Linked DNA regions of Canis lupus familiaris. Each later gene encodes a partner of the first gene's protein in a complex. Links are inferred from orthologs where the notes say so. Each region holds a gene or a part of one and is shown in the gene's direction. Other genes may lie near its edges.

What was found.
Region 2: the proteins of TNFSF13B (region 1) and TNFRSF17 are in contact, whole or in part, in a crystal structure (PDB 1OQD), measured with the Homo sapiens proteins. The link is inferred for Canis lupus familiaris from reciprocal best matches to the Homo sapiens genes TNFSF13B and TNFRSF17. Residues at the interface, in NP_006564.1 of Homo sapiens: Ser162, Tyr163, Lys204, Thr205, Tyr206, Ala207, Met208, Gly209, His210, Arg231, Cys232, Ile233, Glu238, Pro264, Arg265, Glu266, Asn267; in NP_001183.2 of Homo sapiens: Tyr13, Asp15, Ser16, Leu17, Leu18, His19, Ile22, Arg27, Ser29, Ser30, Asn31, Thr32, Pro33, Pro34, Leu35.
Region 3: the proteins of TNFSF13B (region 1) and TNFRSF13C are in contact, whole or in part, in a crystal structure (PDB 1OQE), measured with the Homo sapiens proteins. The link is inferred for Canis lupus familiaris from reciprocal best matches to the Homo sapiens genes TNFSF13B and TNFRSF13C. Residues at the interface, in NP_006564.1 of Homo sapiens: Ser162, Tyr163, Asp203, Thr205, Tyr206, Ala207, Met208, Gly209, His210, Leu211, Thr228, Arg231, Cys232, Ile233, Pro264, Arg265, Glu266, Asn267, Ala268; in NP_443177.1 of Homo sapiens: Asp26, Leu27, Leu28, Val29, Arg30, Val33, Leu37, Leu38, Arg39, Pro41, Arg42.

What each region holds. Positions count from the first base shown.
Region 1 is NC_049243.1:57,181,144-57,188,324, forward strand, and holds the start of TNFSF13B (tumor necrosis factor ligand superfamily member 13B), read left to right. Parts: upstream 1-2,876; 5' UTR 2,877-3,107; coding exon 3,108-3,464; intron 3,465-3,561; coding exon 3,562-3,649; intron 3,650-7,181. UniProt on the Homo sapiens protein: Cytokine that binds to TNFRSF13B/TACI and TNFRSF17/BCMA. TNFSF13/APRIL binds to the same 2 receptors. Together, they form a 2 ligands -2 receptors pathway involved in the stimulation of B- and T-cell function and the regulation of humoral immunity.
Region 2 is NC_049227.1:31,131,643-31,138,789, reverse strand, and holds TNFRSF17 (tumor necrosis factor receptor superfamily member 17), read left to right. Parts: upstream 1-2,790; 5' UTR 2,791-3,024; coding exon 3,025-3,142; intron 3,143-3,501; coding exon 3,502-3,633; intron 3,634-6,108; coding exon 6,109-6,386; 3' UTR 6,387-6,601; downstream 6,602-7,147. UniProt on the Homo sapiens protein: Receptor for TNFSF13B/BLyS/BAFF and TNFSF13/APRIL. Promotes B-cell survival and plays a role in the regulation of humoral immunity. Activates NF-kappa-B and JNK.
Region 3 is NC_049231.1:24,384,931-24,392,173, forward strand, and holds the start of TNFRSF13C (tumor necrosis factor receptor superfamily member 13C), read left to right. Parts: upstream 1-3,394; 5' UTR 3,395-5,468; coding exon 5,469-5,820; intron 5,821-6,161; coding exon 6,162-6,407; intron 6,408-6,736; coding exon 6,737-6,918; 3' UTR 6,919-7,243. UniProt on the Homo sapiens protein: B-cell receptor specific for TNFSF13B/TALL1/BAFF/BLyS. Promotes the survival of mature B-cells and the B-cell response.

The sequences.
Region 1 (7,181 bases):
TTTAATATTTTATTCTCTGGTTCACACCCTTGGATAAACTCATAACTTAAATTCTTTTCACCTATACTCTTACATGTTCCTATCTGCCCAGTCCTGAGTGGATGGGACAAGCAATACGGATTCATTTATTACAAGTGGTGTAGCTGTGATACACGGGAATATTTTCTATTTCAGGTGAGGAAAAAAAAGTAGGTAAGAAGTAGCTGCATCCTGGCAGAGAGCACTCTGTGGCTCAGGTATGGTAGCTTCCTTCCCTGAATAAACTTGTGGTGTGGGGTGTTATTCAATGAGTGGCAAGCTATTTGTTTAACAGAATTTCAGTTAAATTATTGTCAAGACATTTCCTCAGCAGGAAACAGATCCTTGATTTATGGAGTAGTAACTTCCTTTTGTTCCTCTAATAAGAAATTCAGGAGCACATGAATGCTGCTTGGTTTCCACTTGTCTTCAGAGAAATTTGGTCGTGTGATCACTGTGAAGGATGTGCACATGGCAGTAGCCGTGAGCCTCACATCTGGGTCAGGGGAAGCCACCGGCCTGCCGCCTTCTGTGGAAGAAGCACCAGCCCTCTCTATGCTTAGGGCTGCCCACCACTTGATCCAAGATGAGACACTTGTTTTAAACTGACCTACACATAGGCTGGTCAGTGGTACTCTCTGAAGACAGTCGGCCATGAAGGTGTCTATCCAAAAGAGCAATGAAGGCAGAACTAATTCTCTAACGCAATCGAACTATTCCCCCTCTCTGCAATTTTTACAGCAGCATATGGACAAGAGTGTCCCACCAAAAGTGGAAGAAAGTCAACTCACAGAAAGAAGCGGTGGCTACAAGTGTCCTGAGTAAAAGCACAGAGCGATGAATTTCTAGCACTGCCTCAAATTCTTTTATTCCATATGTCTTTGGGTAATATTAACACACACACATAAACCTGAGTGAGCTTCCCTTACTTTCAGTCAGAAGGGTTTAGTATAATCCCCAAACTGATTCTTTCTTTTCTTTCCTTTTCTTTTCTTCTTTCTTTCTTTCTTTCTTTCTTTCTTTCTTTCTTTCTTTCTTTCTTTCTTTCTTTCTTTCTTCTTTCTTTCTTTCTTTCTCTTTCTTTTCCTTTTCTTTTCTTTTCTTTTCTTTTCTTTTCTTTTCTTTTCTTTTCTTTTCTTTTCTTTTCTTTCTTTTCTTTTTTTCTTTTTCTCTAGTGTATGTCCCCCTGATTGGCCTGGAAGCAAGAACTATGACAGAAGACGTGTATTACGTGACATCTGACACAAAGGAGTCTGCTCACGCACTCACCTGAGAGATCGGAGAACAGCTGCTTTGGGCGGCCAAGGTAATCTTCAAAAGAACTTTTTAGAGGTGTTATTTTTTTTTTCCAAGTTCTGTAAAAGTCATTTAACAAGGTCTTAGAACTCACAGACATAAAGGAACCTAGCAGGTAAAAATGAGTGTCTGGTGACGTCACCCCTCGTGAGCCGGGGAGGAAGCAGGAACTCCTCAGGGAGGCTGCTCTGTGACTCCTGACAGAGGTGAAGATGTGCTGACACCCTAGCAGGTGTCTCCCGGGGAAATCCCTGCAGACATTCCAAGGAGACCCGCACGAAGACGTCTGTGATGGTGCCATTTGTAATAAAGAAAAATAGTTCATGTCATGAGTGAAAATGGATGAGAAATGGAAGCATATTAAATCTAGTTTGTCCTGGTTCCTATAAGCCCTGTTACAGTTCCCAAGGACCCTTACCATCCCATTTCACAGACAGAAAACCGAATCCCAGACACACCATGTGTTTTGACCAAGGAGAGTGAGGATTCACACCCTGGCTCTGGAGCTCCTACCCTCACTTACGTTATTTCTGTGACTTTCCTTTTGAAGCTGGCATAGGGACATCATGTGAGACAGAGCTAGCGCTCCAGTCGTGGCACATGGAGGACTCAGGCCCAGCCAGGCCTTGGCAATTGCTCAGTAGCATTTGTTGAAGTGTGAGCTCCTGACACAACATGCAGGTCCTAGGAGCCGAGCAGCCAGACCCCAGGAAGTACTCAGGAGCTAGCCATCAAGACGTGTCTTGGCGGCAAGACCACATCCAGCAGCCATGATTTGGAGCTACCATGACTCTGGGCTGAATCAGGTTGTTCACAGACACAGTAGATTGGGGCAGGGTCAACCTAATAAGGACCAGTAGATTAGCTGCTTTAGGGAAAGAGCACTTAGTTCATGGTGGGCTGGACTGAGGCACTTGGAGCTGGAGATAAGGCCAGTTTTCCCAGATGCTGTCGGCCTGAGCGGACACTTGGAGCTTAGTGGGAGTGCTTCCCAGCTTGGCCGTCCTGTGCGTGGCTGCCTGCCGGGCAGTGAGTCCCAGAAGGAACGCAGTACACATGTTTCCCTTCAAAATGCATCCCCTGCATATAAAGAAGCCCTCATGTGTAATCTAACTACATCCCCCAAATTTAGTCACATTCTTTTTATCTCATTGCTAAGATAATAATAAAAAGAATATTCCCCAGTGGATGTCTGTGCCTCCCCTGAGGAAATCTCGTTTTATTTCCTACTCTGAAACTGTTCATAAATCATTCTCCAGCTGAGTACAGTTCAGTGCTAGTACTTAGCTTATCTGACCTTCGCATTAATTATTTTTATTACAGCAGCAGGAACGTCAGTGTGTTTTCCCCTGCCCTCCGAAGCCATGTGGCCCCGAGCAGAGTGGCTCCCGTCCTGCCACCGGCGGCTCCTCCGGTACCTGTCCAGCTGTCCCAAGTGTACCAGCTCAAACCCCATGTCCTGTCATACCAATGGATGCCCGAGGCCCGTTTGTGTGTGTGTGTGTGTGTGTCTTAGATGCGATTAAAATTCTTACAAAAACTGAAAGTGAAATGAGGAAATGATTGGGCAATCGAATAGAAGGGCCAGTGCCAGGAAGACCTATCATACCGGGGGGGCCCCGCGATGCGGCCAGGCAGACGGAGGGAAGCTCAGGAGAGCTCTCCTGAGGGCGACCACGGGGCCAGGCCATGTAGTCCGTGTAGGACATGAGCAAGCACAGCTCACAGGAAATGATCCGGTCCCTGCGCTCACTTACTCGAAAGGTCCAAACCTTCAAAGTTGCGGGAGTGCCATGGATGGCTGCACAGAAGGCCAGCAGTCACGCCTTTCTCCTTGCCTTGAGAGGGGAGAAGAAATGAAACTGAAGGAGTGTGTCTCCATCCTCCCCCTGAAGGAAAGCCCCTCTGTCCCATGCTCCAAAGATGGAACGCTGCTGGCCGTGACCCTGCTACTGGCCCTGACGGCCTGCTGCCTCTCCGTGGTGTCTTTCCACAGGGCGGCTGCCTTGCAAGCGGAGCTGGGGAGCCTCCGGGCGGAGCTGCGGGAACAGCACGCTGAGCCTGAGCGGCTGCCAGGCCCTCCGCAGGCCAGAGCCAGGGCCCCCAGGGCAGCCATGCGGGAGACCCCAGCTGTCACCTCAGCTCTGAACGTGAGTTTGCAGCAGCTGCGGCCCCAGGTTTGCCCCGCACCACTGCCCCCCACACCTCAGATATCTTTGCAATAACTTGGGGTTTTTCTCTCCTTAGGGAATCTTGGCACCATCCGCTGCAGGAGAAGGCAACTCCAGCCAAAGCAGCAGAAACAAGCGTGCCATTCAGGGGCCGGAAGAAACAGGTAAGTTTTGGGTGCAGAAGCATTTGGGAGCCAGGGAGCCTGGCATCCACAGGTGTGGAGGCTGGCCTCTGCTTTGAGGTCCCGAGAGTTGATTGATCAGTACTCAAAGACTGTGAGAGGTGCATTTACACCAGATGTGGCTTTAGGGCACAGCCTGTGCATTGGCACATTGATGAGCCTGCACGCCACGTTTTGTCCTCCAATGAGCATAGTGAGGGCCCTGCTGTCCTGGCAGCATAAAGGATGAGAAAGAGCCCAGAGTCTTCCTCCAATAGATCGTGCCTGTGTTGGAAACAGTGTCCATCACTCCAGCAGGAAAGCGCTTCAGGTCAGTATAGGTTCTGTCTACCTGAGTCATGGACAGTCAGGTAAAGGTAAACACTTCCTGAGGGCACCTTGTGTGCCATGCAGCCCAGTGAAGCTCCTGTTGGGAGCAGGTGTGTGTTTGTGATTTGTTTATTGCTGTAGTTCTAAAAAAGTTCATTTTACACACACACACATGCACACACGCACGCATGCATGCGTATACACACAGATTTTAAAGCTTTTCTTTAATGCTTTTCCAGGAACTTTTCCAGGAAGAGTTCTTTCATGATTGCTGCCTTTCTTTCTGTCCCACTTATTCCACAGTCTTAGAGATTCCAGAAACCTTGGATTGGGCAGAGCTTCCCCAAATGTTTGATTCTAGTTCCTGCATTTCAACGATGAAAAAGAGCATTACATTCATTCAATAATATCACAACTTAAACAATCCCTGGTATCATTCCTTTTCTTTTCTTTTCTTTTCTTTTCTTTTCTTTTCTTTTCTTTTCTTTTCTTTCTTTTCTTTTCTTTTCTTTCTTTTTTTTTCTTTTCTTTTCTTTTCTTTTCTTTTCTTCTTTCTCTTTCCTTTTTTTGAAAGAACACGTTTTGAGCAAACAGCATGGGCCTGCTTGGCGCATGCTGGGATAGTTATTGTCACGGCTACCATTTCCTTAAGTCCTCACGTTGGCCTTGAGGTGAGCAGAACAGGTGTAGTTCTGTACATATGTATTTGTACTTGTGGAGGGAAGCACATGACTTAGAGACTAGGTGTTCTTCCGTCAGACCACACACACACACTCACACACATTAGGTGCTTTGGCTGGAAATGTATTCACTAACTGCCTTATTCATGGAAAGAAAATTCTTACCTCTTCCTTAAAACCATAATTTTCTACATATGCTTTGTGTCAAGTATCAGAAACAGTTGGGTTTAAATATATATAAACTAGGAAATGTGAGTACTTTTACTATACTTTAACACATGAATTATTTTCATACTTTGCAATTTTATCATATGTATTTCCTACCTAACTGAAAAAATACAGCATATATACTATGGATTTATTTTTGTGTTCACTTATCATTATGCAATAAGCATTTTCCCTACTACTAAGTTATTCTCACACATCCATGTTAGTTTCCTGTCACACAGTTATTTAACATGACCATTTCCAAAACTTTTGTGCAGATTTCTTTTTTCTTTTTTCTTTTTTTTTTTTTTTAAGATTTTACTTATTTATTCATGAGAGACACACACACAGAGAGAGAGAGAGAGGCAGAGACACAGTCAGAGGGAGAAGCAGGCTCCACGTGGGACTCGATCCTGGAACTCCAGGATCACATCCTGGGCCGAAGGCGGCGCTAAACCGCTGCACCACCTGGGCCACCCTCTTATTTCTGATGAATTACATGTTCCAAAGAAAGAATATCAGAAATAAAGAGGATAAACATCTTTATCACCCTTACTCCCTTTTGCCATGTTGCTTCCAAAATGAATTATAAATGTATTGTAGTCAGAAATGCACTGTACAAGTTCTCCACATTCTTAGTGTTTTATCTTTTAAAATTTATGTTGGCTAGCTTGGTAGTTGTAAACAGTATCTCAAATGTAATTTGTTATTTGCTTACAAATAAGAATTTCTGCGTATTTACATAACTTCTAATTTTATCTTCTGCTAATTTTTATTTATAACTTCCCTCATTTGTCCTAATTCTTTGTGATTTGAATGAACTATATTAAACATTCTGTTTATCAAAATTTTGCTGTAAATATCTTCCCAATATCTTGCTTATTTAAAATGTGTACAGAGATTTTACATCTGTGTATGTAATATGATAAACTTTTCCTTCTGATCTCTGTCATACGTTAAAGCTAAAAATGTATTTCTTCATAATTTCTTACATAGCCTATTCTATTCTCTACCACTTTGACTTGTTTACAACTTTGTGTTTTAGTTTGCTGTTATTTAACTCCTTAATCCTCCTGGCATTCATTTGGTAGATCATGTCTACTAGCTTTAACTTACCCTTTCTTCTTTAATTTTTTTCCTTCTAAATTATTCCTAATATCTCAACTAAATTTATTAGATGATTCTTTTTAACTTGTTTGCATTGGAAAGCTTACTGTGTTGTATTAAGTTTCTCACATATAGTTGAATCTATTTTGAGACATTTTCATTGATTTATTATTCTTTTTATCTGTATTAAATAAAATATGTTAAGTATTTTGTAATATAATGAGCTTTAATATCTCATAGAGTCAGAATGTTTCAATCTTCTTCAACCTCCGTGCTAGTATCCTCCAGTCTCTGCACATTAGGTTTATGAATAATCCTTAACTTTACCATTGCAAAAGAGCTGCAAAGGGCTCATTATAGCAGGTTTAAGAAGAAACGACATTGAATAAGAAATTAATTAACTCCCAGAGTCCCACTTCCATAAATACCCTCTATTATATTTAAATTTTCCTCCTATGTGCAAAATTTTACAAATTTGTGATTCTATGGCATCCAAAAATCATATACTGATTAAAAATTTTCTCTAAATAAATTTGTAATTTTTAGAAAGTTTGGAAAGTAACAAAAAATTGTATCAAGTGAATAAAAATTTACCCAGTTTCCACAGCCCAGATATAACTGCTATTTTCATAATCATAATTTGCCTGAGATTTTCATAGACCTTTTATATAGTATATATATAGTATATATATAGACCTTTTATATAGTATATATGTATGTATATATACATTATATATATATATTAGTATAGGTATATATAGTATGTATATAAATATATCAAATATGTATAGATAACATATATATGCAATAAATAGTACCCCCCATATATATACACACTAACACTCATAACGTCCATAGATCTGAGAGGAGATCTCCTCTCCTTGAAGAGGAGGACCTCAGTTACAGGTCATATCTGCTATTCCTCATTGGTGAAACTGGCTTGAATGTCATTTTAGATGCCATCCTTCTGTGCAGGGAAAATGTAATTTGCTTAGTACTACAAGAGTAATGTGTATGTAACCAAGAGGGTTGTCTGGAACTCCTTGACTCCTTTCTTTCTTTCTTTCTTTCTTTCTTTCTTTCTTTCTTTCTTTCTTTCTTTCTTTCTTTCTCTGTTTGGTAATGTCCTTTCTTTGGAGTTGAGAAAATTCTGTATAATTTGAATCTATGCAACTTTCTTTGTTTTTGTTTGTTTCTATTCTAGTTCTGAT
Region 2 (7,147 bases), on another chromosome or scaffold:
GGGATTCCATGACAACGTAGGTTTGGTGGAGACAGCATACACTCTCTCCTTTTTGGAGAATCCAAATGTAGTTCGATGAGGTTTGAGGGGCCTCCTGACTTGGAAGTAGAGACATCAAGTAGACAATTGGTAGTTGGGTGTGGATTTCAGGGACAAGGTTGGAGTTGCACACATAGGTTTGGAAGTTAACACATTTAAAACCACAAACAGAGGGACGCCTGGGTGGCTCAGGGGTTTGGTGCCTGCCTTCGGCCTGGGGCTTGATCAAGTCCCAGAATCGAGTCCCATGTTGGGCTCCCTGCATGGAGCCTGCTTCTCTCTCTCTGCCTGTGTCTCTGCCTCTCTCTCTCTCTCTCTGTGTCTCTCATCAATAAATAAATAAAATTAAAAAACCCCCAAAAACCAAAAAACAAAACCAGAGACAGAGAAGAGATTATTTGGGAGATGGTTTGGAAGGAAGAGGTGCATGAAGTCCGGAGGTGCTGCAGCTCTCTTGTGACCAGGAAGGGGAGGACCCAAGAGTAGAAGATGAGATCAAGACCTGAGTTGAGACCAAGAGTTGGATGCTTAACCCACTGAGCCACCCAGGTGTCCTTACTTACTATTTTATTTATCAACACAGCAGAACAGATTACATACTTGCTCAGTAACTTGCATTTTCCACTCAGTTATGTATGGTTCACATCAGAACACATCTGGCACATTCTTTTTGATGGCGGTGTAGTATTCCACCGCGAGGCCCCATTGATGGACAGGCTTTTGTGAATACAAATGATGTAGCAGCAAACATCCTTGGGCACCTGACATCAGGCACCTGAGCAAGCTCATCTGTCAGAAGCAATTGTGCTTCCTTTCCTAAGAGTTGTCAAAGCTCTGTTCTTCTAGTTTCTACCCGTCTTCCCAAGCATGGCCCACATTGCCTGCTTCTCTTTCTCTCGACTCCATAAGTACTTACAGTATGGCTTCTTCCCACAAACATACCTAAAGGGCACTGGTGACCTCCTTCCTTAGGGCATCGCCTCTGACTTTTCTGTAGAATTTGACCTCACTGCCCATCCCATCCTGAAACTCTCCTCGCTTGGTTATCTTTGTCTTCCCATTTCTCTAAGCACGCTTTTCCTATGACCTTTGGCAGCCTCAATGTCTGGCAAGAGCTCGTGGGAGTGGAAGCTGCTGGGGCAGCCCTTGGGCTGTACCCACTGACCTCAGTGCCTGGACCCCAGAGGAATGGGAGGTTTTGATCAATATCTGAATCCACACTCTCTCTTAGGCTCAAACCCTTCACTTAAAAACCAAAAAAGTGTTGTATTTAACTCCCGCATTTTATGTTATTATCATCACTATTTTAATATTTATTATATACCATTTAAAAACTATGAAAAGGTGTAGGGACACCTGGGTGGCTCAGTCGATTTAACATCTGACTCTTGATATTGGTTCAGGTCTCTATCTCAGGGTTGTGAGTTTAAGCTCTCTGTTGGGCTCCAGGCTGGGTGCAGGGCCTACTAAAAAAAAGGTGTTGGGTGCCTGGGTGGCTTACTGGTTGAGCATCTACCTTTGGCTCAGGTCGTGTGATCCCGGGGTCCTGGGTTCAAGTCCGCACCATGCTCCCCTCAGGAAGCCTGCTTCTCCCTCTGCCAGTGTCTCTGCCTCTCCCTTTATTTTTTAAATAAAATCTTTTTAAAAAGTGTCAATAATAACAAAGAATACAACAAAAGAATAACACAACAAATACCAATGTATCCACCATTTGGCTTCATAAAATATGACCAACACAACTGGAGGCTCTTTTGTACCCTCCCTGCACCTCAGAGATATCCAGAGATAATCACTGTACTGAATGCGGAGTTTGTCATTCTCTCACATTTTAACTGAGTCCTGAATTTCTGGCTGACCTCTCTGGATATCTCTCTATGGGGATCCCATTCAGTATGGTGAAAAGCAAATGCAAGTGATTCCATTTATATAAAAAGGAAAATGTGCTCTATACATCTACCTATCATCTATCCTTAGAAATCCTTCCAGAAATATCTATATTGGGGTTGACCAAACAGAACACGGCAGCAGGCCTTTCTTCACACTTCTGTGATACATCCAAATATAGTTTACCTATCTGCTCATTTGTGTTTTCTAAATTTTAAAAAAGATTTTATTTATTTATTTATTCATGAGAGACACACACAGAGGCAGAGACACAGGCAGAGGGAGAAGCAGGCTCCCTGTGGGAAGCCTGATGTAGGACTCAAACCTAGGACCCCGGGATCATGCCCTGAGCCAAATGCAGACGCTCATCTACTGAGCCACCCAGGTGTCCGCCCTTGTTTCTAAATTTTCAACAGTGGAGCATGGATGACTTGACTATGAATGCCCCAAACCTATCTTCCCTGAAACCCTCTTACTAACTGAGCTTTAACCCCAGAAGTCCTTATTTCTGTTGGAATTCCATAGTTCTTCATAGGTGTGAAACCTGGCAGGCATGCTTGATGCCCCTTTCTCTCTTTCTCATTCCTTCAGTGGTTGAGTGGATTTCTATTGCCCCCGTTAGATTTTAAGTTCTTAAGGGGGTTCAGACCTTATGTGTCTCTCTGGGGGCCTATCACACTGCACAGCTCGTGAACAGATGGTCCCAAAGCGGTTATCGAACCTTCCTGCCTGAGGCTTCGGGCTAGTCTACACCTTGCAACTGTCACCTGGATTATTTATAGAAATTTCCTCTATAAATAGACAGTTTCTGTTTCAGGTATGGTTTGCTCTTGATATTTACGCTTTGATCTCTTACCCTCCCCGGGCCTCAAACTTAGAAACCGGAATTGGAGCTGGTATTCAAATCCTTAGTCGAAGTACAAAGAGCGCCCAGAAGAACTAAATCATAGTTGTGAAGTTCTTTTTCTTTTTTTTTTTTTTCGCATCGACATTCTAACTGCTGTCACTACATTTGCTGGGGAATTCCTGACGAGATTTTACTTGTCCTTCCATGCTGTTCTTTCTGGGGCTTTCTTGTTTTTCTTTGTGATCAAGTTCCAGATGGCTCAGCAGTGCTTCCAAAATGAATATTTTGACAGATTGCTTAATGCTTGCAAACCATGTCACCTTCGATGCTCTAATACCCCTCCGGTACCATGTCAGCATTATTGTAATGCAAGTAAGTAATCCTGCTTGAACAACTCATTCGTTGGTGTAACCTATTTTCTCTACTTTGACTACTTATTCAAAGAGTAAAAACATTGCGGGGAAGATGGTGAGGTCTTCTGTATCAAAAAGAGAAAGGAAACAAGGCAAGTATTTGAATGCCAATGGGACCAAAGTAATTACTCAGAATTGAGCTCAATTTGATGCAGTGCTGTTAGCAACATGGATTTTTATCAACTCTTCTAATTAAGTGTTATTTAGGATTTACGAGTCAGTGCTGATGAATTAGGGGAATTGGATGGCAAATAATCTTTACTTGATGTGGATATTATGTTGTCAGTTCATTATCTCTCTGATATTCTTTTAATTCAGTGAAAGGAACAAATGCAATTCTCTGGACCTGTTTGGGCCTGAGCTTGATAGTTTCTTTGACCATTTTCGTGTTTATGTTCTTGCTAAGGAAGATGAATTCTGAACCATCAAAGGACGAATGTAAAAACACAGGTTGGTTGAATGGTCAGACTTTGGAATCTATTTCCAAGAGGTGGCTATTGTGATTTGAGTTCCTTCTCTTCTTTTTTCCTGTTGAGTTATTTCTTTGGTTAGAGCCCTTTCGAGCGTGTTAGAGGACGGTTGTATTAAATGAACTTTGGGGCAGGAGCGAGCTGTCTTCTTTTTGGTGTTTGTCTCTTCTTTATAGGTGCCCCACAGAGTTAGCCTTCCCCTATAGTTTTCCCTCAGTAATTACTCTTCTGAGGTACTGGGCTTCCTTGGCAAACATCCATCTCTTTGACCAAAGTTAGCACATTGATTAAACGTTTACTTACTCTCAAGAAACTGCAAGCTCGGTCTGCTACTATCAGGAAAAATGTATTTGGCAAGATCCATGGCCTTATTTTTAATACAAATGTAAACATTTTTTGCTTGGTGAATATTTTACTGCCCCCAAAATGCTAGAAATGAATAGAACCAGTTGTTCCTGGATTATTTGAGCAGTCATTTTAAAGATCATTATCTTTATTAAGCAGCAGAGAACCAGTCTGAGAGAAGTGAATGTTCTACTTAAGGGCTTTTTAAGATAAAAATATTTCAGCAGCACCTTTGCCCATGATCTGATTTCCCAAATGCTTTGCAGCCTTTGGCCTATTTCTGATGCATTTATTTTCCATGTATAATCTGTAAAGCACCCCCCTCATTTGTCTTCTCATTTGCAGAAAAGGGAGGTAGATGGCTGTTCCACATAATTTACTCATTTTTCTTTTCTCATTTTCTTTCTTTCTTTCTTTCTTTCTTTCTTTCTTTCTTTCTTTCTTTCTTTCTTTCTTTCTTTCTTTCTTTCTTTCTTTTTCTTTTTTTTCTTCTCTTTATTTTTGCCTGGGGTCTGAGAAACAGGTGGGGAATGACTTTAAGTGTGACATTTTGGAAGATGGAGTTATTCTGTGGCAGGTTGGGGAAGTAGTAAAACTTACCTTCACTGACATATAAATGGGGACATAACAGAGACTCCTTCCATACATGATCACAAAAAAATTCATTCTAAAATTTCTTTAAAAAAGATTTTACTTATTTATTAGAGACATAGACACACACACACACACACACACACACACACACACGCAGAGGGAGAAGCAGGCCCCATGCAGGGAGCCCCATGCTGGACTTGATCCCAGGTCCCCAGGATCACACCCTGGGCTGAAGGCAGCGCTAAACTGCTGAGCCGTGGGGGCTGCCCAATATAAAAAATTTTTGATATGATACCAAATGGTCTGTAAGAGAAGTATCCTTACTTTGAATTCTAAAGTGTCCCCCAAAGGCTCATTTTGTGTGTAACATACGGTAATCTGTCATTTCCACAAGTGTAAAATAGAGCCCATAACTTAATGCCTTCAAGGGCCAAGTGGGTAACCAGTGAATGTAGCGGGCCATGTGGAGGTTTCAACAGTTGAATAGCCAGGGCCCTTCCTCAAGGAGACAGCGGCTATTGACTTCAGGCAATTGTTTCCATGGAGGAAGGTTAGCTATTTGTTGTTTTTTTGAAAGAGACCAATTACCTAGATTTGCACATCAAATCCCTTGAAGGCTTTTTTTTTTTAATCTCTTGATTTTTATTTTTTTTAAAGATTTATTTATTTATTTATTCATTCATTCATTCATTCATTCATTCATTCATGATAGACAGAGAGAGAGAGAGAGAGAGAGAGAGAGAGGCAGAGGGAGAAGCAGGCTCCATGCGGGGAACCGATGCGGGACTCGATCCTTGGACTCCAGGATCGTGCCCCAGGCCAAAGGCAGGCGCTAAACCCCTGAACCACCCAGGGATCCCTAAATCTCTTGATTTTTAAACGTGGACCAACAGGGGGCACCTGGGTGGCTCAGTGTTTGAGGATCTGCCTTTGGCTCAGGTTGTGATCTCTGGGTCCTGGGATCCAGTCCCGCATTGGGCTCCCTGTAGGGAGGGAGCCTGCTTCTTCCTCTGCCTGTATCTCTGCCTCCCTCCTTGTGTCTCTCATGAATAAATAAATAAAATCTTAATAAATAAATAATAAGGGATCCCTGGGTGGCTCAGAGGTTTAGTGCCTGCCTTCGGTCCAGGGCGTGATCCTAGAGTCCCGGGATCGAGTCCTACGTCGGGCTCCCGGCATGAAGCGTGCTCCTCTGTCTGCCTCTGTCTCTGCTTCTCTCTCTCTCTGTGTCTCTCATGAATAAATAAATAAAATCTTTAAAATAAATAAATAATAAATAAATAAATAAACAAACAAACGGAGGCCAACACAGCATATAAGCAAACACTTAAAAACACTGTATGGGCCTAAACAAAGTCCAATGTGGCCTATGGTCAGTTCCTGACTCCCAGTGCAGGACATTTGTTTTGTAGGAGATCTGTCTCCATTGCTTTGGGCCCTAAGGTGTCCTGCTAAGACTGCCAGGACGGCACCACCTGGGAAGTTGAGGTTGATCGTTCTGTTTCTACACAATCAGGATCGGCTCACCAGAACGAGGCGGATGCTGACCAGGAGAAGGGCCGTGATAGCAGGACCAGCGAGGAAGTTCTCTCGAGGGGCCTGGAGTACACAGTAGAAGAATGTACCTGTGAAGACTGTGTCAAGAGCAAATCAAAGGTGGATTCTGACCATTTCTTTCCACTCCCAGCTATGGAGGAAGGTGCAACCATTCTTGTCACCACGAAAACAAGTGACTACTGTAATAGCCTGCTGGCCAGTGTCACAGAGATGGAGAAATCCATTTTTACCAGATGATTAACCATTTCAACTGGTCAGAGCTGCTTTGAGAATCTTAACGTCAGAAGGAGTAATCTCTTTAGGATGATTGTACTTATCAGTTGCGGATAGAGCTTTTTGTCCTGATTCTAGAAAATCTTTATGTTAGATGTACTTCCCTACCTTATTGTTGGGAGCTTACCTGTGGAAATTTCCTTGGTTTCATGATTAAATTCTTGACTTACTGAAACAAAGCACTGCAGTGTGTAGATCCCATAGTCCCACATTTCTGTGGCTAGCCCCTTTCTCTCCTATACACACATACATGCATACGTTTCAGGCCAGATTTGATTATTATTATTATTGTTTTTAAAGATTTTATTTATTTATCCATGAGAGACACAGCGAGAAAGACAGAGACATAGGCAGAGGGAGAAGCAGGCTCCCTTTAGGAAGCCCGATGCGGGACTCCATCCCAGGACCCCAGGATCATGCCCTGGGCCAAAGGCAGACGCTCAACCGCTGAGCCACCCAGGCATCCCTGATTTTTATTATTAAAGAAAAGCAAGGTTATCTATGTATTCCTGGAGACAGAAGAAGCCTAGAGTTAGCCACACTAATTTAGTGTGCAGTGCATGAGTGCAAGGCTCAATCACTTGTGAGCTTTCAGCTTAATGGAGACATCAGGCATTATTACAATCCCATAAATAAATGTGTAACTGCAAACTGTGATAAAGGTATAGCAGGTATCATTTTAAGACCCCAATGCAGGTAGTAATAATGATAGCTAAAACCTAGCC
Region 3 (7,243 bases), on another chromosome or scaffold:
TGGGTACTGGGGTGGGCCCTGCCTGTGGGGAGGGGCCGGGCTCGCTCAAGGTCACAGCCTGTTTTGTTCCTTGGGCGACCCCAGGGAACTCACTTCGTAGGAGATGGCCGGGCCTGTGTGTCCTGGCCCCGGTCTAACGCTGTTTCCCGCGCCAGTGAGGAGGGGGCTCTGCAGCCTGGCACCTGTGTCTCCTTCACCCCTCGCTGAGCAGAGGCTGGGGCGGCCTCGGGCTGCGGCTCCGACAGGGCAGCCTGGTCCCGGAGGGGAAGTGATGCAGTGGGAAAGGACCCAGCCTGTGAGTCTCACTGACTTGGGGTCTGTGGCCAACTTGCAGTGTGACCCGGGGCAGCTCACTTCCTGTCTTCCTGTCCCCACAGTCTCTTGAGGTTCTCGTAAGGCTCAGAGAAACCAAAGAGCCTGACGTGCCTGTTGTGCCCGCCCGTGTGTGCCCCGCACAGACCGTCCTGGGGTTGGCTGCCGCTGCGCAGGGGCGTGGCGGGCAGGGTGAGTGCTGGGGAGCTCCTGAGATAAAGGCCCTGCCCCAGCCTGGCCCTCACCTCCCACACCTGGTGCTGGGCCAGGCCTGCCTGACGGACTCCAGCAGAAAGGTCCCCTTCCCACCAGGCACCTGCTGGCTTAACCTCTTTCCCTGGGCCTCCCCTGGACCACAGTCGAGCAGCAGAGAATCCGGGTGGAAAGGCTTCTCGTGCACACCTGGAGGCTCGAGGGGTGGAGGGCGGGGACGATGTAGTGAGTTGTCAGGACCTGCCCAAATCGGAGTCCCACCTGAGTGTGACCCTGTGGACAGACCCTGGGGCCCAACTCTGGGAGGGAGAGAGGGCACGGAGTCCCAGCGCCCCTGACCTGGGCAGGAGGTAGCCTCCCTTGGGGCCACCCTCTTCCGTCAGGAGGAATGCCAAGGGCATTCGGGGGTCCCGGGGGCTACTGCTTGGCTATATAATAGCCCTGCAAGGCCAGGCCCAGGGCTCCTGGCACCTGGTCATCCTCTGCTGTGTTAGGCCGCAGGCTCCTTGAGGCCTGGATCTGCCTCCCCGCCTGCTGACCAGGGGGGTTACTCCAGAGATGTGTGTGTGGTGGTAGCAGTGGGGGAAGAGCTCAGGGACTGAGGGGCCGCCTGGCTCGTCCCCGATCCTTCTGAGCCTGCTTTCCTCTCTGTGAAGAGGCAATCACGGTGCCATTTCCCCACAGGTTGAGGCGAGGGGTGTGGGCTCCTGCAGGGCACAGGGCCAGGCAGGCGGTCGGCCCGTGCTGGGCACTGCCGTTTCCTGGATGACTGTGCCATTCCCTGGGCCTTGGTCCTGGGGGGGTCACTCTCGCCTCCATCCCTCTGTGCCAAGATCTCACCAGGCCTTCCCTGACCCTCGGGCCCTCCCTGACACCCTTCCCTCCTGAATTTTTCTCCCCAGCACTTCTCAGACCCTCACCTACTATATGGTTTCCCCATTTGGATTTTGTCTCTGTCCTTCCCTGCCGTCTCCCCGGAATCTAGAACAGTGCCTGGTGCACAGCAAGTCTCCGTGAGTGAGTGGTGACTGAATGGAGGAGTCTGCTCTGGGTCCGCCTGTGCGTCAGCAGCCTGCAGGGAGACCAGAGCCCAGCCCTTGTCCCCACTGCTGTGGGGTGCCTTGAACGGGGCCTGAGGGAGGTGCAGCCCCTGGGGAGGCTCCCTGCTCTTCCGCCCCCCACCCCAGCCTTCGGCCTAGCCCCCAGGAGGTGCAGACTGTTCCCTGTGGCTGAGACGCTGAGGGTCGGGTCTGGGGTCTCCATTCTGATCTCACATAGACGGCCTGTGTCCCCCATCCCGGGGCCGTGTTCAGACCTGCTGGGGAGCCCTGCCCTGAGGCGTGCTGAACTGTGCACACGTGCATGTGTGTACGTGTGTGTGTATGGGCACATGGTGGGGGCGATGAGGGAGCTTGGGCCTGTGAAAACCTGGACAGGAGTTTTATAACCGCTTCATGGAAGGGGGTCAAGGGGAGAGGGTCTGGGGGCGCTCCAGCCTCACCAGGACTTCGTGTGGATCCTCTGCCTCTCCTGCCCCTGGTCCTGTCCCCACATTCTTCCCGCTGTCTCCCAGTGAGAGGGGCTTCCTCGCAGTGTCCTATTTGCCAGTGCCAAGTACATGAAAAAGGGGTCCCTGCCCTGGGGCCCCTGACCACTCCTGAGACAAAATACAACCAAATAGAAGGAGAGAGCTACGGGGCAGAGGAGGGCAGGGAAGTCCCCAGAGCAGCTCCCACTGTGTGGCCCCTTTGATGAATCACAGAACCTGTTTCCCCCCCAGGCACTTGCCTGACAATTTAAAGGCATGAAACAGGATGGGATGAAAAAGTAAAAAACCAGAACAGGCTCCCTCTGGGGACAGCAGGGAAATGCCCCTCCTTACTCATAGACTTCTGTATTGTTTGAGGGTTTTTTCATGAGAGTGTGTGCAGGTATTACAGAATTACAATTAAAAATGATGTTCACGTAAGGAGTGCGTCCTGGCGCTCCGAGCACTTTCACATCTAGGTCTGGGGAGCGGGGCCTCGGTCTCCCCCGGGAATGCCCCCCACCCTTCCCACCCCCGCTTAGCACCCAGCGTATCCCACCGGCAGCTTCCTCCTTGCCCCCGGCGCCAGCCCCAGCCCCAGGCATGAAGGGCACAGGCCCTATCCTGGCTCCCCCGAAGCTGGGTCATCCCTGGCCCCTCAGAGCCCCTGCCTCACCATCTGGAAACCCGACATCATAGCGCCGCCCGTGTCCGGACCATTGGGAGGGTGTTTTGGGGGGAATTTGAGGGACAAAGATCATCAGAGACTCCTTTTCCCCCGAAAGACCCCAAATTAGTTATCTTTGTAAAACACTTCATCAGTGAACGAGAACATGAGAACACCGAGTGACACTCCGTGAGATGGGGTTTCAGCAGCAAAGTCCCTTCTTTCCTACTCAGTACCTTTGAGGTGATGATACCAAAGTGTTTAAAACTATCAGGTTCCGGCCTGGCTCAGTCGGTGGAGCGTGAGACTCTTGATCTCGGGGTTGTGAGTTCAAGCCCCACGTAGGGTGTAGGGATTATTTAAAAAAGTAACATCATAGGGTGCCTGAGTGAGCGAGCATGAGACTCGTGATCCCGGAGTCCTGGGATCGAGTCTCACATCGGGGTCCCCACAGGGAACCTGCTTCTCCCCCTCTGCCCGTGTCTCTGCCTCTCTCTGTGACTCTCATGAATAAATAAATAAAATCTGGGCAGCCCGGGTGGCTCAGCAGTTTAGCGCCGCCTTCAGCCCAGGGCCTGATCCTAGAGACCTGGGATCGAGTCCCACATCGGGCTCCCTGCATGGAGCCTGCTTTTCCCTCTGCCTGTGTCTCTGCCTCTCTCTCTGTGTGTCTCTCATGAATAAATAAACAAAATATATATTAAAATAAAATCTTAAAAAAAGAAATAATAATCTTGACTTCAGAGATGTAACCCCAAATAAGGAATCTGCTGAGGATTTAACCTAACATTTATCACCTTGGTCTGTTGGGGAAATTTTTTTTAACTGTGAAGTCGGGATTCAAGGCCTCCCTCTGCTTCTCATTCAGGAGTCACAAGTGACAAGGTTTGTCCGGGGTCAGGCACCTGCACACACCACCGACGCTAATCGCACACGCCTTTCGCCATGGCCTGTCCCTGACGCGTGCCTTCCTGGGCCCTAGGAGGCCGCGGGTAGATCACCACTCTGCCCCTCTGGCTTGGGCCCCTGAAGGCCGCCTCCCCCGCTTTGTGCTGGAGCAGGTGCAGCTGCCACATAGAAGTGGCTCCTGTAAGTGACCCCAGACCAGCCCCATGGGCCACCCTCTCCCAGGGACACCATCCTCACTCCAGATTCCCACAAGACTCAGTCTGCTCGGCCCAACGGCGGCGTGAGGGTTAACGAGGTGCCTGGCCCCGTGTAAGGGCTCCCAGGCAATACTGGCACCACCAGTGATGGGGGTGGCGATTTGGCCCCCCCTCCTCTCTGGGCTCCCGGCCCCCCCACCCCCTCACCACACACCCACACTCACACCCACACCCACCACCCCAGACCCACTTCTCCTTTGCAGCTGCCCTGACGCCTACACCTTCCTGCCCTGGAGTTGTTGGGCCGTGGGCAGAGGACAGAGAGGCAGTGGGCCAGGGCTCCTGGATGCCGGCCCACCCAGGGGGCTGCTGGAGTCCCTCGAGCCAGAAACCCGGGGCCAGCCTTGCTCCCCTTGCACCACAGCATCACTCTTTGCTCCTAAACAGCTTCTAGATGGTTCCCCTGCTCTGGACCGTGGAGTCCTGTCTCCAACTCCACAGCAGCCAGAGACAGGGTCGCTTCTGCAGCACAGCTCAGAGCATCTCTCCCTGCGCTCTGGTAGGGGCTCCCCAGGGCCCAGGAGCCTGACGCGGAGGCCCAGAGCATCCCTGCCTCCCCTCCTCTGCAGCATCCCCTTGCCTGTCTCCAGACTCAGCTTCCCCCTCTTCCCCCTCTTTGCCTTTGCCCTCGCCAGCGCCAGCTTCTCTGCTGGAAGCGTTCTCTCCCCCCTCGAAGCTGCTGAATCTGCTCCTGCCCCATCCAGGCAGCCCCTGCCTCTGTGCTCCCCAGCCCTGAGCTGGGATGGCCGACCCCATCCCCGCCGAAGCTCTCTGCCAGCCCCTGCAGACGGCAAGGGAGGCAGGAGGGGCCTGTGTGTGTGTCTGAGGCTCAATCTGAGAGACACGGGTGACAGGCCAAACACCAGAGAGTAGAGACAGAAGGGACCCCAGTGAGACTCAGAGGTAGGCAGGCCAGGACACACACAGCCCTGGGACCCATGGGTCTTGGTCTGTCTGTTCATCTATTGATCGGAGTCTCTCCCTCCTGCCTCGGATCTGGGAACTGAGCTGTCTGTCCTCGGGCCCTCGGCCACCGTCTCCCTCCCCCCGCTGTGTCCTCTACTCCAGCCAGAGCTTCCCCACTGTCACCCAAGTCTGACTATGGTGCCGTCTGCTGAAAGCTCTGCGTGGTTCCCTGGCTCCTTAACCCTCAGCCACGAGTCCAGCCCAGCCCCCGGGCCCAGCAGTCTCTGGGCCCCATCTCTGTCCTCTTCCGTCAGTCATGCTCCCCTAGATCTCGCTGGGCAGACACCTTCCCACCATCCCGTCCTTTCCGAAGCCTTCCAGCCCCCTCCATGACTGCTGCCGTGAGGCGCTGTCTCCCCAGCACCCTGGGCACTCGGGAAGCCTTGTGAACCGAACCTGCTCTGCCTGGGAAGGGCTGGAAGGAGCCCCAGAGGGGGACCAGGTGGGGTGAGGAGGACACGGCTGGTGGGGGTTGTCTGGGGCTGTGGGCTGGCCTTGGGGAGCAGGACAGAGGAGGCCACCCAGAGGTCCTGACTGCAGGGGCCCAACCTCTACTGCCCAGGAGCGCGGGGTCTGCGCCCCAGCACAGGGCCAGCCCAGCAGTCGTCTGGAGGTGATGGTTGAGTGGTTGAATGGAGGAACCACAGGTAGAAAGAGAAGGTGTGGGGTGCGGGGCCTTGCGAGTGGTCCCACCCCAGCAGGCAGGAGGGTGGGGCGGGGCCCAGTGGGTGGCGGCCCCTCCCGGTTTCCTCCTCTGGGAGCCGAAGCCAGGCTCAGTCCCCCGCGAGCGAGCGCTGGGCACGGCAGCATGGGCAGCGACAGGAGAGGCGCGCGGGGCCCGCGGGGCAGGGGCGCGCGGGGCAGGGACGGGCCGGTCCCCACGCGCTGCGTCCAGGCCGAGTGCTTTGACCCTCTGGTCCGAAACTGCGTGGCCTGCAAGCTGCTCCGGACGCCAGAACCCAGACCGGGTAAGAGCCGACCCACTCAGCCAGCTGGTCAGCAGGGGTGCAGCCCTGGGAAGGAGGGGGGGCCCCCACCGCGCAACCTGCGGGAGCCGCAGGCCACCCGGGACGGGGGCGGGGGGCGGTGACTGGTTTGATGGGGGGCTGCAAGCGGGGCCTCGTGGGGACCGGCGGTCACCATGTGGCCCTCACCTCTCCCTCTCTTGCCCTTCCCCCGCCCCCCGCCGGCCCTCCCTCCCCTCCCCCGCCCCCCTCCCCGGGCCCAGCCTCGCCTCCCTCCGCCCCTCCCCCTTCCCGGCCGCCCCTCCCCTCCGCCCCCTGCGCCCCCTCCCCGTCCGCCCCGCCAGCAGCCGGGCCCAGCAGCCTGGCGCCCGGGACGGCGCTGCAGCCGCAGGAGTCGGTGGGCCCGGGGGCCGCCGCGGAGGCCGAGGCCGCGCTGCCGCTGCCCGCGCTGCTCTTCGGCGCCCCCGCGCTGCTGGGCCTGGCGCTGGCCCTCGTGCTGCTGGGGCTGCTGGGCTGGAGGTGGCGGCGGCGGCTGCGCGCGGCGGCTCCCCCGGGGGCCCCGGACCCGCGCCCGCGCCCGCACCCGCGCGGTAAGTTCTGCGGGGCGGGGGGCAGGGAGGCGGGGCCGGGGCGCTCGGGAGGGGTGCAGCGGCTCGGGCCGGTTCCCCGGGAGGGACGCAGCCCTGGCCCCGGAGCCGCCGGAGCCCCACACAGGAGGCCGCTTCTCCCTTCCGCCGGCGCTTCCCATCTGCACTTCCTGTCCCGAGGGCCCAGCACAGGCCGCCCGTCCCCATCCCTGCCGGGGCTTGGGGTTTTTCTCAGTCGGGGCGGTCCCTCCACTGAGGCTTCCAGAACAGGGGTGGGGAAAAGCTGTCAGCCTTCCTGACCTTGCCTTCCCTGCGCCCCCTCCCCCAACTAGAGACCCTGGACAATGTCATCATCGTCCCCCCGGGGCCCCTTGATGCGACAGCTCCCGTGTGGCCTCCGGCCGGAGAAGACCCAGCCAACACCCCGCCTGCCCACAGCGTCCCTGTGCCAGCCACAGAGCTGGGCTCCACCGAGCTGGTGACCACCAAGACAGCCGGGCCTGAGCAACAGTAGCGCCGGAGGGGCCAGGAGGTGGCCCCTGTCCTCCCTGTGGGCTGTCAGCCAGCGGCCTGGAGGGTGGACTCAGGTCTTCATCACAGGGGCCACCTGCCCCTCTTCTGGGAACCAGGCTGCTCCTCAGCTAACCCTGCAGAACCACAGACTACAGGCCGGCCACAGGGCTCGGCGGCACAGAGCCTTTGGCTTCAAACCAGACCATCTCTGGCAGCCCTGGAAGGTTGTGGCTGAGCTCCTGTGCTTTTGAGTGGTGGGGGCGCGTCGCGAAGGAGGTTTCTCTTTCAGTGCCAGAAAGCCACCGTAAACCAGAATGAATCTAGGA